Linked DNA regions of Macaca fascicularis. The protein of the gene in region 1 purifies or fractionates together with the protein of each later gene. This does not show direct contact. Links are inferred from orthologs where the notes say so. Each region holds a gene or a part of one and is shown on either strand. Other genes may lie near its edges. The genes, in order: PSKH2, HSP90AB1 and CDC37.

Region 1 (5,849 bases):
CTTCTTGTTTTACCAATGAGGAAATTTAAAGAACACATTAGCCAATCGTTGCAGAGTCAGGATTAGAACACAGGTCTCCTTTCTTTTCTTTTTTCTTTTTCTTTTCTTTTCTTTTTTTTTTTTTTTTTTTTTTTTTTTTGAGATGGTCTTGCTCTGTCACCCAAGCTGGAGTACAGTGGCATGATCTTGGCTCACTGCAACCTCTGCCTCCTGGGTTCAAGTGATTCTCCTGTCTCAGCCTCCTGAGTAGCTGGGATTACAGGTGCACGCCACCTTGCCCGGCTAATTTTTGTATTTTTTTTAGATTAGAGACGGGGTTTCACCTTGTTGGCCAGGCTGGTCTTGCACTCCTGACCTGAAGTGATCTGCCCACCTCAGCCTCCCAAAGTGTTGGGATTACAGATGTGAGCCACTGTACCCAGACTTCATTTTAATAAAACCTCTCCTAGCTAAGGATGACAGAGAATGGAATGTACTCAGGGAGCACCCAGGGAGAAGGCACATTTTTATACCACATATTCAATACTGAAGATTCAAATACAAATACTAAACTATTCTTTAAATAGTCTTACTTCTTTTATTGAGCTTATTTTTCCTGTAACGTTTTTTTTTCTTTGCCTTCTTGTTTGTTCTTTATATTCCTGTGTGTATTGAATAAAAATGACGTTTGGCTGTACCAGATTACAGAAAACAGCTTTGTTCTCCACAGAGCACTTAATTTTCTGGCCAATTACCTTATCAAAACAGATAGCAATTTAGTAATCTTAAATAGATTCTTTCCCCTTTTCCCTTTCCATCTCTGCTTTTTTATTTACATGCATTCCCAGTGTGATTTTGAAGATAATCACAGGCATTTCAAATTCTATTGCTTTGCAGACCAACCAAGTTTTATATTACCTCTATTATGGATGAAAGCACTCTGCAAATGCTAATTTATCGCCATGCCCTCAAAGCTGCCACCAAACTCATTTGTTCACAGAATTAATCATATCAAACAAACTACCATTTCTGAGAACTACACTCTTTTGCTCAAATAAAAGAAGCTTTTTTCAATACTGTTAAGGGGCCTTCATATTTCCAATATTTGAAAAATTGCTAGTAATTTGGCATTGGAGGAAACAGTACACTTTAAGCCAAGATTTAGAGTGGTGGAAGTAAATGCTTCAGATTGTTATTCAATTTGTCCCATAACAAATTCTTACAGCTGCAGCCTTGCTCATGAGTCCTCAACAGCCATGAACGGTGACCATCTTTATGATTTGCGTGATTATACCTTGTAAAGTGCCTAGCACAGAGAAGTAGCAATAAACATTGAACAAAAGAATCATTCACCGAATACATATTATTCCTGAATCATCATATATATATTGAAAATATTAAGTAAAAATCACATCAAACAGGGAAGAATGCCTCTATAAGGTCTTTTCATTTCCTTCACTTTTACCCCTCCACTCTCTTAAAAGAGTAGCCTCAAAGTCAGTTTATAGGTGGGGCTATTTTGTATCATTCCAGAGACTACATAAATTGGAAATATTACTTTAACCTCAGTTGCTATTATACAAACTGGGAATTTTTGAACATAAAGATTTGAAACAAGAAAATAATAATAATGTCACAATCTGCTTGAGAGAAACAATTGTAATAAACTCCCAACAAGAAAGTAAATATAGCCGCGCGCGGTGGCTCAAGCCTGTAATCCCAGCACTTTGGGAGGCTGAGACGGGCGGATCATGAGGTCAGGAGATCGAGACCATCCTGGCGAACACGGTGAAACCCCGTCTCTACTAAAAAAATACAAAAAACTAGCCGGGTGAGGTGGCGGGTGCCTGTAGTCCCAGCTACTTGGGAGGCTGAGGCAGGAGAATGGCGTAAACCCGGAGGCGGAGCTTACAGTGAGCTGAGATCCGGCCACTGCACTCCAGCCTGGGAGACAGAGCGAGACTCCGTCTCAAAAAAAAAAAAAAGAAAAAAAAGAAAGTAAATATACTCATATTTAAATTCTATCATCTCTTTTCTGCAAAAGTTATAGATGGAATCACAATGGAGAAGAAAGATGACTGTGTTCTAGTCCCAATTCTACCATTAACTTGGACAAGTCATCACTTAACCTTTGGGAACTCAACTACTCATTGGTTAAAGATGAGCCTTGAGTTACAGTCTCTGAAGCCCTTGTAATGTTGAGATCCTCTACTTCTGTGATCCCTTTACACTCTATGGGGCTGGGTCTACCCGGGGATTGGGAATGAGGAGGGTGGATGAAGACTAGATCAGACTAGCATCAACTCTCTGACTACAAATGACCAGAGATGCTATTTAACCAATTCAGTCTTGACAAGACCCTGTACCTACTCAGATTCAGTTCAGTCATATTAGTCAGTTTTATTCTTCTCTAAACTTAGCAGCCACTGGACTAATCCTCCAGGAGTCATTAAAAGTTCTCAAAGAGCCAGGAAATGGCTCTGCATAGATTCTGGACAGAGCACTGTGATGAAGTGAGTGTGCAATTCTAGGACCAGAAGTGCCTTGGGAAGCCAGCTGAGCCACCCATTATTGTGTGCCCCCAAACACACAGAGGAGAAGGGGATTCTGTGATTTACTTGGTCAAAATGTCCAACATGTCCAACATGGTACACTCTGAGGAGGCCAACCAACTTGCAATCTTCTACATAGCGAGGGCTTATTTGTACTTCATGAAGACAGTAATCAGCATTGCACTAATGTCTACAGGAGGACTGGTGCCATGCACTGTGCAGCATAATTTGCATGTATTACTTTAATTATGCTGCCAACAGTCTTATGAGATAGATACTCCCATTTTACAGAGGCAGAAACTAAGGAAGGAAAAAAGCTAAGGAATAGTCGAAATGGTACATGATAGAAGAGATAGAACTGGACCTTAAGCCTGGCTGACTCAAAGGCGTGTCTCTAGTTCACTCACTGTAATCCCAATTTTTAGAATTTAGTGGAAGATCCTTCACACACCAGGTCTGGTAGGACCCAGCCCTAGGATATTGGTGGCAAAGCTGTCTTCTGCCACAGACGCTGGAGGTTGGTAGGCAGTCCTCTCACAGCCCCACACCCCACCTCTGAAGACAGGAATTCTTTCCCTTGTTTGCTGCTGCTCCTGCTCTCTTTTTTCCCATCCTCTGAACTCCCTGCTCAGAGATGTCAAAGATAAATTGTACTGGGCACTTATGGAACACAGCAAAGAAGGCTTATCCCAGACTATTGCAATAGGGGTCAAGGCTTCTGCAACAGAGGAAAGGAAATGGACGCCTTTGAAAGAAAAGGCAAGAAAGTTTTTAAGCTCTGGGGTGAGCTAGTGGAAAAGAATGGGGGAAGGTTAGGGAGAGGTGGTCAATGAGATCTGTGTTTGCTGCCTGGCCCTAATGGAAGTTAGGCTCCTACCCTCCCACAGGGACTGGGAGACAGTGGCCCTGACTCTCTTGATGACTACATTTCAAAGGGATGGCTCCCAGGTGCTTGAAAAGGACACTCTTGGGTTGTAGAAGATTTACATCTTAAAAGGGCAGAGAAGGGTAGATCAGTGGTCTATCATCCGAAAGAACCCTGTCCAAAATTGAGTCAAGCTGAAGGAAACCTTGAGGCGGTCTTGGCCAGGGATTTTTCTTTGTCAGCCCAGTCCCAGGCCAGTTCCTCACGTGGCGCTTTACCTGGCAAGGACCCGGGGGTCGAACTTGGCTCGGAAGCGAGCCACCTGTATCCTCTGCGCCGCCTGGGCCGCCGCCTCGGGCCGTGGCCCCGCACCTCCGACGCCGGCTTGACTTTGACCTTCGTGCTTGGCCCAGGCCAGCGCTGGCGGCCCCGGGACCACCTTCCTGCTGGCGCCGCACCCCATACCCGCAACACGACCGGCGCTCGCAGGACCCGGGGACTCGGGGAGCAGCCAGCTCTGTTCCTCCGCCCTTTATCCCAGAGCAGCTGTGAGGGGCGGCACACTCGGAAAGAAACCCCACTGGGGGGTCGCGGTCAGGCGGACAGCCCTCAGGATACCCGCTGACGACCGAGATGCCTGGAGCATCGCTGGTCACCGTCTGTGTGTGTAATCTGACGTGATGAAAGCAAAGTCAACCAGCAGGCAGAGCCTGCGCCTAATTCTCTGGGCTTCACTTTCTGCATCTCTAACCTGAGGAAGTGAACATATACAGTTATACGATTCTATAAAGGATATCGTCCCTCTAAAGAACTTTTCGCTGAGCTCATATTCGGATGACATGAACAATTAAAATTCTAAGAGCTTATAATATTTAAAGTAGAACTTCACTGCCTTCTATTGCATTAAACAGTTGACAAAGGCCTGTGTCTGGCCCTCATGACCATCTTACGGGTAATCCATCTAAGACAGAAAAACTTAGGGCCACAGTAGATGTTTAGAACCCAGACGAACACCCTAAGCAAATACAAGGAGAAAACCTGTGTGTGTGTGTGTGTGTGTGTGTGTGTGTATATATGTATGTGTATATATATGTGTGTGTATATATAAATATATATAGTAACTTTACATTTTCTATACATTTCATTCTTATGTTATTTATATATATTATACATGTATGTGAATGTGTGTATATAAATTATACACACACAGTATTATACTTATAAATATTTATCATTTTGATAAAGGTATATTGATTATATCACTATATTGATTAGACCTCATTGACATTTGTCAATTATATTCATTCATACACACACACACACACACACACACACACAAAAATGATGTGTGGGAAATGAAATCCAGTCACGATCAAGCAAATCAAGATCACATGCCTCACAAGTTGTAGAACTGGAACTGGAGGCTGTTTCCTGATTTCCAGGCCAGTGCTACTTCAATTTGTGTAATTTCCTTTCTAATTTCATTTAATTTGTAGTTTGGTTTAACAAGGAATGTCTGTGATGAATAAAGTAGTCATGAATTTTCCCAGAGCTATATTTTGATGGAAAATTTAAAATATGGCTTGCATATAGCTGAGGGAAAATTAGTTCATCCTGCAAAGAGAGCATAACTACCAAATAATGGACTTTTCTTCCTAAAGAACCCTCAGAATTTTCCAACTACTAAGAAACAAGGAAACAAGGTTTATTTTAAGCAGGTAAACAACTCGTTCTTACATGTCTTGAGCTTTTGAATTAATTTGCAGAATAGGCTATTTATTAGGCTGGAGCAAAAGCAATTGTGTTTTTGCCATTAAAAGTAAAGGCAAGGCCAGGCATAGTGGCTCACACCTGTAATCCCAGCACTTTGGGAGGCCGAGGCAGGTGGATCACCCGAGGTCAGGAGATCTAGACCACCCTGACCAACATGGTGAAATTCCATCTCTACAAAAAATACAAACACTGGCTAGACCTGGTGGTGCGTGCCTGTAGACCCAGCTACTTGAGAGGCTGAGGAAGGAGAACTGCTTGAACCTGGGAGGCAAAGGTTGCAGTGAGTTGAGATCCCGTCACTGCATTCCAGCCTGGGTGACAAAGCGAGACTCCATGTCAAAAATAAATAAATAAATAAATAAATAAATAAATAAATAAAGGCAAAAGCTGCAATTACTTTTGCATCAACCTAATAGTATAAACAGAATGGAAGACAGAAACAAAGGGAACAAACTGAAGTCAGATGTTAAGGTACTGCTCAGGAAAAAACCAAAATGCATTCCTCAGAGAGCCTGTTGTAAGGATTGTTTGCATAAGGATCGCACAGCATATAGGAAGCATCTACTATAAAACCTAAACCTGGGCAGCAGTGAAGACACCAGACACAGTCCCTCTGCCTGTCTGCCTTCTTCCAGCAATGAGGGCCTTCATAGTAGGCTGCAGAAGCCTCTTCTGTGCTG
Region 2 (4,266 bases), on another chromosome or scaffold:
AAGCTTGTGTCTCGGCGCAGCTACGAACACTGGGAGTACCTGACAGCCACCCTCATCTCCATCGGGGTCAGCATGTTTCTGCTATCCAGCGGACCAGAGCCCCGCAGCTCTCCGGCCACCACACTCTCAGGCCTCATCTTACTGGCAGGTTATATTGCTTTTGACAGCTTCACTTCAAACTGGCAGGATGCCCTATTTGCCTATAAGATGTCATCGGTGCAGATGATGTTTGGGGTCAATTTCTTCTCCTGCCTCTTCACAGTAGGCTCACTGCTAGAACAGGGGGCCCTCCTGGAGGGAACCCGCTTCATGGGGCGACACAGTGAGTTTGCTGCCCATGCCCTGCTACTCTCCATCTGCTCTGCATGTGGCCAGCTCTTCATCTTTTACACCATTGGGCAGTTCGGGGCTGCTGTCTTCACCATCATCATGACCCTCCGCCAGGCCTTTGCCATCCTTCTTTCCTGCCTTCTCTATGGCCACACTGTCACTGTGGTGGGAGGGCTGGGAGTGGCTGTGGTCTTTGCTGCCCTCCTACTCAGAGTCTACGCGCGGGGCCGTCTAAAGCAACGGGGAAAGAAGGCTGTGCCTGTTGAGTCTCCTGTGCAGAAGGTTTGAGGGTGGAGAGGGCCTGAGGGGTGAAGTGAAATAGTCTTCTCACCATTTTCTCCTACTGTAACCCGAGGGAGCTGGCTCAAAGGGCAAAATGCAGGTGTTTTCTCAGTATCATAGACTCTGCAGCAGGGGGTGGGGAGCCCAGGAGGCAGCCTTCCCTTTTGCCTTAAGTCACCCATCTTCCAGCAGGCAGTTTATTCTGAGCCCCAGGGTAGAGATAGTCCTCAGTGAGGGGGAGTTTGGGGTCAAGAGGGCATAGGTAGGTTCCACAGTTCCCCCTCCCAGAAGTTTCCTTAAGTCTTGCCCTAGCTGTGCTCTGCTGCCTTCCAGACTCCCCTCTGCAAATACCTGCATTTCTTACCCTGGTGAGAAAAGCACAAGCGGTGTAGGCTCCAATGCTGCTTTCCCAGGAGGGTGAAGTGAAGATGGTGCTGTGTTGTGGAAAGGGGATGCAGATCCCTGCCCAGCACCACCACCTCCTATGCTCCTGGATCCCTAGGCTCTACTCCATGAGCCTGTTGTAGGTTTTGGTACTTTAGAAATGTAACTTTTTGCTCTTATAATTTTATTTTATTAAATTAAATTACAGTAATGGACTTGGTCCTGTGTTTTGACTGAAAAGGCATTATTATATGGTAGTTTTTCAGAAAAACTGCCTTTAGCTTCAGTGTGTGCACTCTTAAGACTCACTGGTATTCTGTATCTTAGCTACAAAACCAGCTTAACTTGCTGTGCTCATGAAAACAGCAAGAGCTGGGGGGGATAGAGAAGCTAGGGAAGAATAAACATCCACTTCACAAGGGAGAGCAAAAGTGTATAAAAACGGCATATTCTTTATTTTGCATACTTTAATTTCAGAACAAAATGAAGAAAATAAAATAAACCACAACACACAACATCCAATCCTGCTGTCAGAGTAGAGAGGGAATGGGGCTTGACACCCTTGGTTTCCTGCCTTCAACACAAGGACAGGAGAGGAAAAACAACACTAGACATCAGCAGGGGGAGCCAGGTGGGACAGGGGCACTTGAGGCTGCAGTGGGAGCCACGGGGACACTATACAAGGGCACAAGTTTTCCAACTATGAACTTCTAACCTAATCGACTTCTTCCATGCGAGACGCATCCTCATCGCCCTCAAGAGGGGGAATCTCATCAGGAACTGCAGCACTGGGTTCTTCTGCTGCCACTTCATCTTCATCAATACCTAAAGTAAAATTAAGCCATGTAAGACTTGATTAAATAGCATTAAGTCAAATCCAGACAGGAGCCTAGTTGCACAAACTCCTTGCCACATCAAGTACCAAAGCTGCTTACCTAGACCTAGCTTGATCATGCGGTAGATGCGGTTGGAGTGGGTCTGGGGATCCTCAAGGGAAAAGCCTGAAGAGAGCAGGGCGGTTTCAAACAGCAGCACCACCAGGTCCTTAACTGCCTTATCATTCTTGTCGGCCTCAGCCTTCTGCCGCAGAGTCTCCACAATGGGGTGGTCAGGGTTGATCTCCAGGTGCTTTTTGGCCATCATATAGCCCATGGTGGAGTTGTCCCGAAGTGCCTGGGCTTTCATGATCCGCTCCATATTGGCTGTCCAGCCATAGGTGCTGGTCACAATGCAGCAGGGTGAAGACACAAGCCTATTGGAGATTGTCACCTGTGGACAATCACAAAAGCCTTAGATTTGCATTAGATCAGTGACCACTTTGAAAGAGAAAACGGACACTGTCAAGCCTGTAATTCCAGCAGGGGGAGGAGGAGGAGGTGGGGCCGATCACTTGAGTTTGAGACCAACCTGGCAAAACCCTCTCTCTACAAAATATACAAAAAATTAACCGGGTGTGGTGGCACATGTCTGTAATCCCAGCCACTCAGGAGACTTGAATTTGCAGTGAGCTGAGATCCAGTCAAAAAAAGAAGAAAATAATATTTTATCTACTCTCACAAGTTAACTGAAGCAATGCCTAATCTGTGCCAAATTTTATTAAAATAGCCTTAAACCTGGCTAGGGAAGAGAACAAGAGGCAAGAAGGCTCCAAACAGTAAATAGGGTGCCTCAAGCCACTAATTGTGTAAAAACATGATTGTGAGGGAGCCCACCTCAAAGGTATGTTACAAAATATATCCTAGCTCCAGAATGGCTTACCTTCTCAACCTTCTTATCTAAGATTTCTTTCATGAGCTTGCAAAGGTTCTCAAACTTTGCCTTGCTCTCTTCCATCTTCTTCTTCTCCTCCTCATCCTCAGGCAGCTCCAGACCCTCCTTGGTAACTGAGACCAGGCTCTTCCCATCAAACTCCTTGAGCTGCTGCACACAGTACTCGTCAATGGGCTCGGTCATATATACCACCTCGAAGCCCCGTTTCCGCACTCGCTCCACAAAAGCTGAGTTGGCCACCTGCTCTTTGCTCTCACCTGTAGGGTAATTAAATGGACTCAGTGACTAAAATGCCTCATACTGCCAGTTCCTAGGTAGCCCTGAAATGTGCTCCCCACTCCTCCAAAAAGGCTTCCATCAGAACCAACGCACCAGTGATGTAATAGATGGACTTCTGTGTCTCCTTCATGCGAGAAACATACTCTGACAGAGATGTCATCTCATCTCCAGACTGGGAGGTGTGATAGCGCAGCAGCTCAGACAGGCGGCGGCGGTTAGTGGAGTCCTCGTGGATTCCAAGCTTGAAGGGTGGGAAGAGAAAAAACAATCCAACTTAACTACAATTCACTTTCTATGTGAATGGAAAAATTTGTTAGTAATTACTAAGAAAGTGGTAAAGGGAATAAGCATTTGCTTCTTTACCTTGAGATTTTTAGAGAATGCCTCATAGAATTTCTTGTAATTCTCCTTGTCTTCTGCCAGCTCAGAGAAGAGCTCAAGACACTTCTTAACAATGTTTTTACGAATGACTTTCAAGATTTTGCTCTGCTGGAGCATTTCTCGGGAGATGTTCAGGGGCAGATCCTCAGAGTCAACCACACCACGAATAAAATCTGCCATCAACCAGGATAAGAAAGCTCAGTAAAAATAGCTAGACCAGAGCTGGTACCCAGATTCAAACAGAAGGCTCTAATAGCCTCCTGAACCCTTATACTTACTATGCATTGCAGAAAATCCTTAACCTAGGATATTCTGGCAGAATGCCGAAAACCTCCCAAGACTTCACCCAACTAAATTAGGCCAAGGAGATACTCACTGAGATACTCTGGTATTAACTCATCACAGCTGTCCATGATGAACACACGACGGACATAGAGTTTGATGTTGTTCTTTTTCTTCTTGTTCTCAAAAAGGTCAAAGGGAGCCCGACGAGGAATGAATAGCAATGCCCTGAATTCCAACTGACCTTCTACAGAAAAGTGCTGAAAAAAAACAAAAAATAAGCAAGTGATACATTTCAAAAGAGGGCCTTTTAGCCCCAACACCAAATTACCTAAAAATGGAATAATGATCCTCCCCATAAGCCTAACGGATAGAGCGCACACACAGGCAGTTCCCGAGAAAACTGAGCCTTAATGCCCTCAACGATCTAGACGAATACTAGCTGTATATAGAAAACAGTCCGCTCTGATCAGAACTCTGGATGTGTAAGGCTGCCAATAGACATTACCCAGATTTCCTTTAGAGAAAGTGAGGTCATTAGGAAGGATGGCACTTCAC
Region 3 (5,299 bases), on another chromosome or scaffold:
TCCGTCACGACTCAACTCTGTGGCAGAGCAAGATCGGTTGTAGATGACAGTGAAACAATTGAGCATGGCTTCTTTGTTGCAATAAAACTTTATTATAAAGACAGGCAGTGAGTCTGGGAGCTGCGGTTTGCAGAAGCTGGTCTAGATGGCTATGCCCATAGAAGCTTCTAGAAACTCATGGCCAGTCCTGCAGCTAGACCCATTTTACAGACGAGAAAACCAGGGTGACCAACCAGTGAGCCAAGTGGTAGGAATAGGGTCAATCGTGTCCTACTTAGATTCAACGTCTATTGCCACTTCCAAAAATACAGCCAGTGAGACCTTCTTTATAAAAACATAATTTTTAGAAAAAAAATCAGTGAGATGTCATGGTGTCAGCCTATAATCCCAGGTACTTGGGGAGGCTGAGGTGGGAGGATCACTTGAGCCTGGGAGGTGGAGGCTGCAGCCTGGGTGAGAGAGGAAGACCCTGTCTGTCAAAAAAAAAAAAACAGATGGCCAGGTGCAGTGACTCACGCCTGTAATCCCAGCACTCTGGGAGGCTGAGGCGGGCGGATCACGAGGTCAGGAGATTGAGACCATCCTGGCTAACACAGTGAAACCCCGTCTCTACTAAAAAATACAAAAAATTAGCCGGGCATGGTGGTGGGTGCCTGTAGTCCCAGCTACTCGGGAGGCTGAGGCAGGAGAATGGTGCAAACCCGGGAGGCGGAGTTTGCAGTGAGCAGAAATAGCACCACTGCACTCCAGCCTGGGTGACAGAGCGAGACTCTGTCTCAAAAAAAAAAAAACCAGACAAAATCCAATTAACAGCCAGCATTTACCAGCCCCTGCCGTGTGCTCAGCTCCTTTCCCCACACGTTTTGTGAGCTGATATTGAGAGAAAATATGGTTTGCATAAGGAAACTGAGGCTGGACTCAGTCACATTAACAGTGACTATCAGTCACAAGGGACATACGCTCAAAGCTCAGCATTTATCTGCTGGATGCTGGGACACAGTAGGTGCTCAATAAATGTGGGTGTGTGCCAAGGTAACACGACCCCCCTTAGTCCTTGGAGAAGCCTTGAAGGGGCACTTTCACCAACTGGCTTCAGAGACTTGGGACACAGGGCTGGGGGAGACACATGGCCCGCTGGAAAGGCATGGGACGTGGGGGTTACTCACGGTGGGGTCCATCTTGCTGATGGCGTCTTGCAGCATCTGCACGTCCTTTACATCGAAGCACTTCTGGAGTTCCTGGGGGTATAGAAGGGCTGGGGTCAGGGGCTGGGTCCCTGTGCCCTGGGGGGTCCCGCTCAGGGTCCTCCTGCCGCCCGCCTGGGCTGGGGAGCCGCACCTCAGGGAGGGACTCGTAGACCTCGACAGGGTCCAGGCCGCCGGGGCCAAGCCGCTTCTTGCGCTCCTCCTCCTCATACTCCTTCATGGCCTTCTCAATGCGCAGCTTGGCACGGCCCCGCACACGCTCCTTGAAGGCTTCTAGCTCGTCGTTGAAGCCCTCCATGTACTGGCGATCGGCTGTCTATGGGGGTCGGGCAGTGCTCACTAGACTTGGCCCAGTGCTCAGGAGGGACTGGGGGCCCAGGACCCTCCAGCCACAGCTCCTCAGAGGTGCCCCAGGGCTCCCTAAGTCTGTTCCTGACTTACATAAAGGGCTTCCCAAGGCCTGGGCTCCCCTGCCAGGGACCTCATCTGGCATTTGCTAAAGACCACCTCCTTGGGAGCCCTGCTCTACTGCAGATCCGAGACACTCGTGTCCTCAGTGTCCCTGCATGGGCACCTCTAACTCAACACGGCCACCTCCCAGCCTGCCTTGTCCTTGGTCTCCCCAGTCTTGGTAAGGGTACCCCTGTTCCTCCAGGTGCGCAAGTTAAAAACCCGAGAGGCTGGCAGGCGCCTGTAATGCCAGCTACTTGGGAGGCTGAGGCATGAGAGTTGCTTGAACCCAGGAGGCAGGGGTTGTAGTGAGCTGAGATCACGCCATTGCACTCCAGCCTTGGTGATAGCAAGACTGGGTCTCAAAAACAAAAAAAAGCCCAGAGCCCTAGAGGCACCCTCACCTCTGTCCTTTACCCACATATCCACATGGGGACCTCCAGCACATCCTAGTGCTCCCATTTTTTTTTGTAATGCAGTTTTGCTCTGTCACCCAGGCTGGAGTGCAGTGGAACACCACAGCTCACAAATTCCTGAGCTCAAGTGGTCCTCCTGCTTCAGCCTCCCAAAGACTTGGACTATAGGACTCAGTCACCAAGCCTGGCCTGACCTCCACTTTTAAAGTCTGGCAGCATCCGCCCACTTCTCTCCCCCTCCTTGGCCCCGCCCTCTCCTGATCTAGGATTCGGTGATTGGAGGGGCTTGAGTCCCAGTGGACAGGAGTCGGCCTTACCCAGAGCGCTGTGGGCTGGTTCCCTGGGGAGGGGGCCTCCAGCCACCTGGCAGCTCAGGGGACCCTACCTTAATCTTAGTGAAGAACTGCCGGAAGCAGGCCCGGGGGTCCACCTTCAGGCTCTTGGCCAGCTCCAGGATAAACTGCATGACGATTGTCTGGTGGGCCACCTGCTCCATGAGTGCACATTTCTGCCAGGGAGAACAGGCACAGTGTTACCAAGTGGCGGCCTCAGGGCAGCACCTTTTCACAGCCCTGGGGAAAGCTCCACTCACCTCCTCCACCTCTAGGTCAATGCACCAGATGACCAGGTAATTGGCCGTCTCCTCGCACACCAGGTGGACATTGTCTGACAGGTACTTTTGGCTGTCATCCCAGCGGCGGAGCATGCCTGTGGGAAGATGCTGGCAAGGTGCTGGAGGGCCCTGGAGGCAAAGGGCCTGCCCCGACCTTGCCCCCCATAACCTCACACGCCCCACTCACCAAAGTGCTTGATCTGTTTCTCGTACTTTTCCACGAAAGTCTTGTGTTTCTGCTCCCTCACCTCCTCTGAGTCCTCCTCTGTCTTCTCGGGCTTGGTGTTGACCATGCTCTGTGGTAGGGTGAGAGGGGGAGTGGGCTGGGGCAAGGCTGCGGAGCGCCTCGAGTGCGGCCGGGCGGGCCGTGGCCGCAGCGCCCATCCCATCCACGGCGGAGGTGGTGACGAAGCCATGAGCATCAAGGTGGCGGGAGCGTGGGCATGGGCCTTGGGGCAGATCAGAGGAGGGGACCGGTGGGGTGTTTCATCCGCCCGGCCCTCCAAGCCTGTCCCCCCTCCCACGTGGCCCCCGTCCGTCCCTCAGCTCTCTGCCCCACACCACACTCTTCAACTACACCGCCGCGGTCCTCCCCTGACCAGGCATTGGGTGCGCATGCGTCCTGGCTGCATACTCGCTGGCTGCGCAAGTGCACTGCCCGCCCCGCCCGCCCCGCACACCTTGCTGAAGCCGTCTTTGCTGAGCGTGTCCACGTTCCAGGGCATGCTCTTCTCCTTCTTGCGCATCTCTTCCAGCTTCTGCTCCCAGCTCCGCTCCTCTTTGCGCAGCTGCTGTGCCTCGGCCTGCAGCCGCTCCAGCTCTGCCTTGCCGCCCTCAGCCACCTCCAGCTCCTTCAGCTTCCTCTGGCATTCGGCCACCTTGCGCTTGCACTCGCGGCAGCCCCTGTCCAGTTCCTCCTTCTCCTTCTGGAACTGCTCCATGCGCTCCACCCGGGCCTGCGGGCAGGGGCGGCCTATCAACTTTGGGGAGCGGCCTGTCCCTTACCCCCAGCCCCATACCCAATCCCCGCACCAGAGATGGCCCCGGGAAAAAGTATGCCTCCACCTCCCGTGCCCTGGTCTCCCAGCTTCCGCCCCTGCCCCCACAGGTGCCGACGCACACCCAAGTGGGGTCCGGTCCCTCCGTCCTCCGCTCAGAACCCTGGCGGCTCCCATCTCACTCAGAGCAGAGTCCAGGTTGTCACCACAGCCTACGTAGGCCCTACACAATCTGCCCCAGCACCTCCCCTGCTAACTCTTCCTTCCAGCCACACTGGCCCCTCACTTTTCTCACCTTTTCTTGAGACCATTTTTTTTTCTTTTAGAAAAAAAACAAAAAAACAGGGTCTCACTCTGTCGCCCAGGTCAGAGTGCAGTGGCCCAATGACGACTTACTGAAGCCTCGACCTCCCTGGGCTCAGGCAATCCTCCCACCTCGCCTCCCGAGTAGCTGGGACTACAGGTGTGCACCACCACGCCCAGCTAATTTTTGTATTTGCAGTAAAGATGGGGTTTCGCCATGTTGCCCAGACGGGTCTTGAAGTCCTGGGTTCAAGCGACTCTTCCGCCTTGGCCTCCCAAAGTGCTGGGACCACAGGCAGGAGCCACTCTGCTCTGCAGAGCCTGCTTTTTTCTTGAACTTCAAGGCCTTCACACTGGCTGTTCCAACTACTTGGAATGATTTTCCCTCAGATCCCCCCACAGCTGACTCTATGGCACCCGCACCATCTGGGCTCCATGTTGCCTTAGCGAGGACCCCTTCCCTAACCACCTTCCTATTGATGGCAACCTCCCGCTGCCCCCGTCTGGAATTCCCTGCCTCAACACCAGCCACCACTCACATCATATGACAATTATTTATCACGTTTTTGGGTACTGCCCCGCCCCGCTCTCTAAATATGGGAATGTGTTTGCCATTTTGTCTCCAGAACCAGGAACTTGGCCTGGCGCAAAGCAGGGGCTCAGCAAATGCTTGTTTTTTTGTTTTTATTTTGTTTGGTTTTCTTTGAACAAGGTCTTGTTGTCATGCAGACTAGAGTGCAGTGGTGCGATCATGGTTCACTGCAGCCTTGACCTCCCAGGCTCAAGAGATCCTCCTGCCTCAACCTCCCAACTAGCTAGGACTAAAGGTGCACAGAAACCACCATGCCCAGCTATTGTTTTTTTTTTGTTTTTTTTTTAGATGGAGTCGCCCAGGCTGGAGTGCAGTGGTACGATCTTGGCTCACTGCAACCTCTGCCTCCCGTTTTCAAGAGATTTTCCTGCCTCAGCCTTCTGAGTAGCTGGGATTACAGGCATGCGCCACCACACCAGGGTAATTTTATATTTTTAGTAGAGACCAGGTTTCTCCATGTTGGTCAGGCTGATCTGGAACTCCTGACCTCAAGTGATCCACCCACCTTGGCCTCCCAAATTACTGGGATTACAGGCATGAGCCACTGTACCAGGGCCCCTTCTAGATGTTTCTTTGTTCCACCCATAACCTTGCTCCAGGATCACTGCCTAGGCCCCCTTAGCTCTGTCTCCAGCCCAGCATGCCCTCCTGAGCCCCAGCTTGGTGTCTACCTGCTTCCCGCTCACCCAAGCCCCAGATGTCACTCCCCAGGCATTCCTTTC

What was found.
Region 2: the proteins of PSKH2 (region 1) and HSP90AB1 purify together in Homo sapiens (affinity purification with mass spectrometry; 3 studies listed by BioGRID and IntAct, counting the BioPlex papers as one, with this or other methods). This does not show direct contact. The link is inferred for Macaca fascicularis from reciprocal best matches to the Homo sapiens genes PSKH2 and HSP90AB1.
Region 3: the proteins of PSKH2 (region 1) and CDC37 purify together in Homo sapiens (affinity purification with mass spectrometry; 3 studies listed by BioGRID and IntAct, counting the BioPlex papers as one, with this or other methods). This does not show direct contact. The link is inferred for Macaca fascicularis from reciprocal best matches to the Homo sapiens genes PSKH2 and CDC37.

Annotation. Positions count from the first base shown.
Region 1 is NC_088382.1:95,809,920-95,815,768, forward strand, and holds the start of PSKH2 (serine/threonine-protein kinase H2), read right to left. Parts: upstream 3,955-5,849; 5' UTR 3,860-3,954; coding exon 3,675-3,859; intron 1-3,674.
Region 2 is NC_088378.1:127,263,920-127,268,185, forward strand, and holds the end of HSP90AB1 (heat shock protein HSP 90-beta), read right to left. Parts: intron 3,969-4,266; coding exon 3,803-3,968; intron 3,600-3,802; coding exon 3,409-3,599; intron 3,287-3,408; coding exon 3,139-3,286; intron 3,024-3,138; coding exon 2,755-3,023; intron 2,266-2,754; coding exon 1,932-2,265; intron 1,822-1,931; coding exon 1,712-1,821; 3' UTR 1,429-1,711; downstream 1-1,428. Other genes in the region: SLC35B2 (adenosine 3'-phospho 5'-phosphosulfate transporter 1), read left to right, coding at 1-618. UniProt on the Homo sapiens protein: Molecular chaperone that promotes the maturation, structural maintenance and proper regulation of specific target proteins involved for instance in cell cycle control and signal transduction. Undergoes a functional cycle linked to its ATPase activity.
Region 3 is NC_088393.1:10,957,474-10,962,772, forward strand, and holds part of CDC37 (hsp90 co-chaperone Cdc37), read right to left. Parts: intron 3,641-5,299; coding exon 3,365-3,640; intron 3,134-3,364; coding exon 2,872-3,133; intron 2,780-2,871; coding exon 2,664-2,779; intron 2,580-2,663; coding exon 2,457-2,579; intron 1,522-2,456; coding exon 1,339-1,521; intron 1,239-1,338; coding exon 1,167-1,238; intron 1-1,166. UniProt on the Homo sapiens protein: Co-chaperone that binds to numerous kinases and promotes their interaction with the Hsp90 complex, resulting in stabilization and promotion of their activity. Inhibits HSP90AA1 ATPase activity.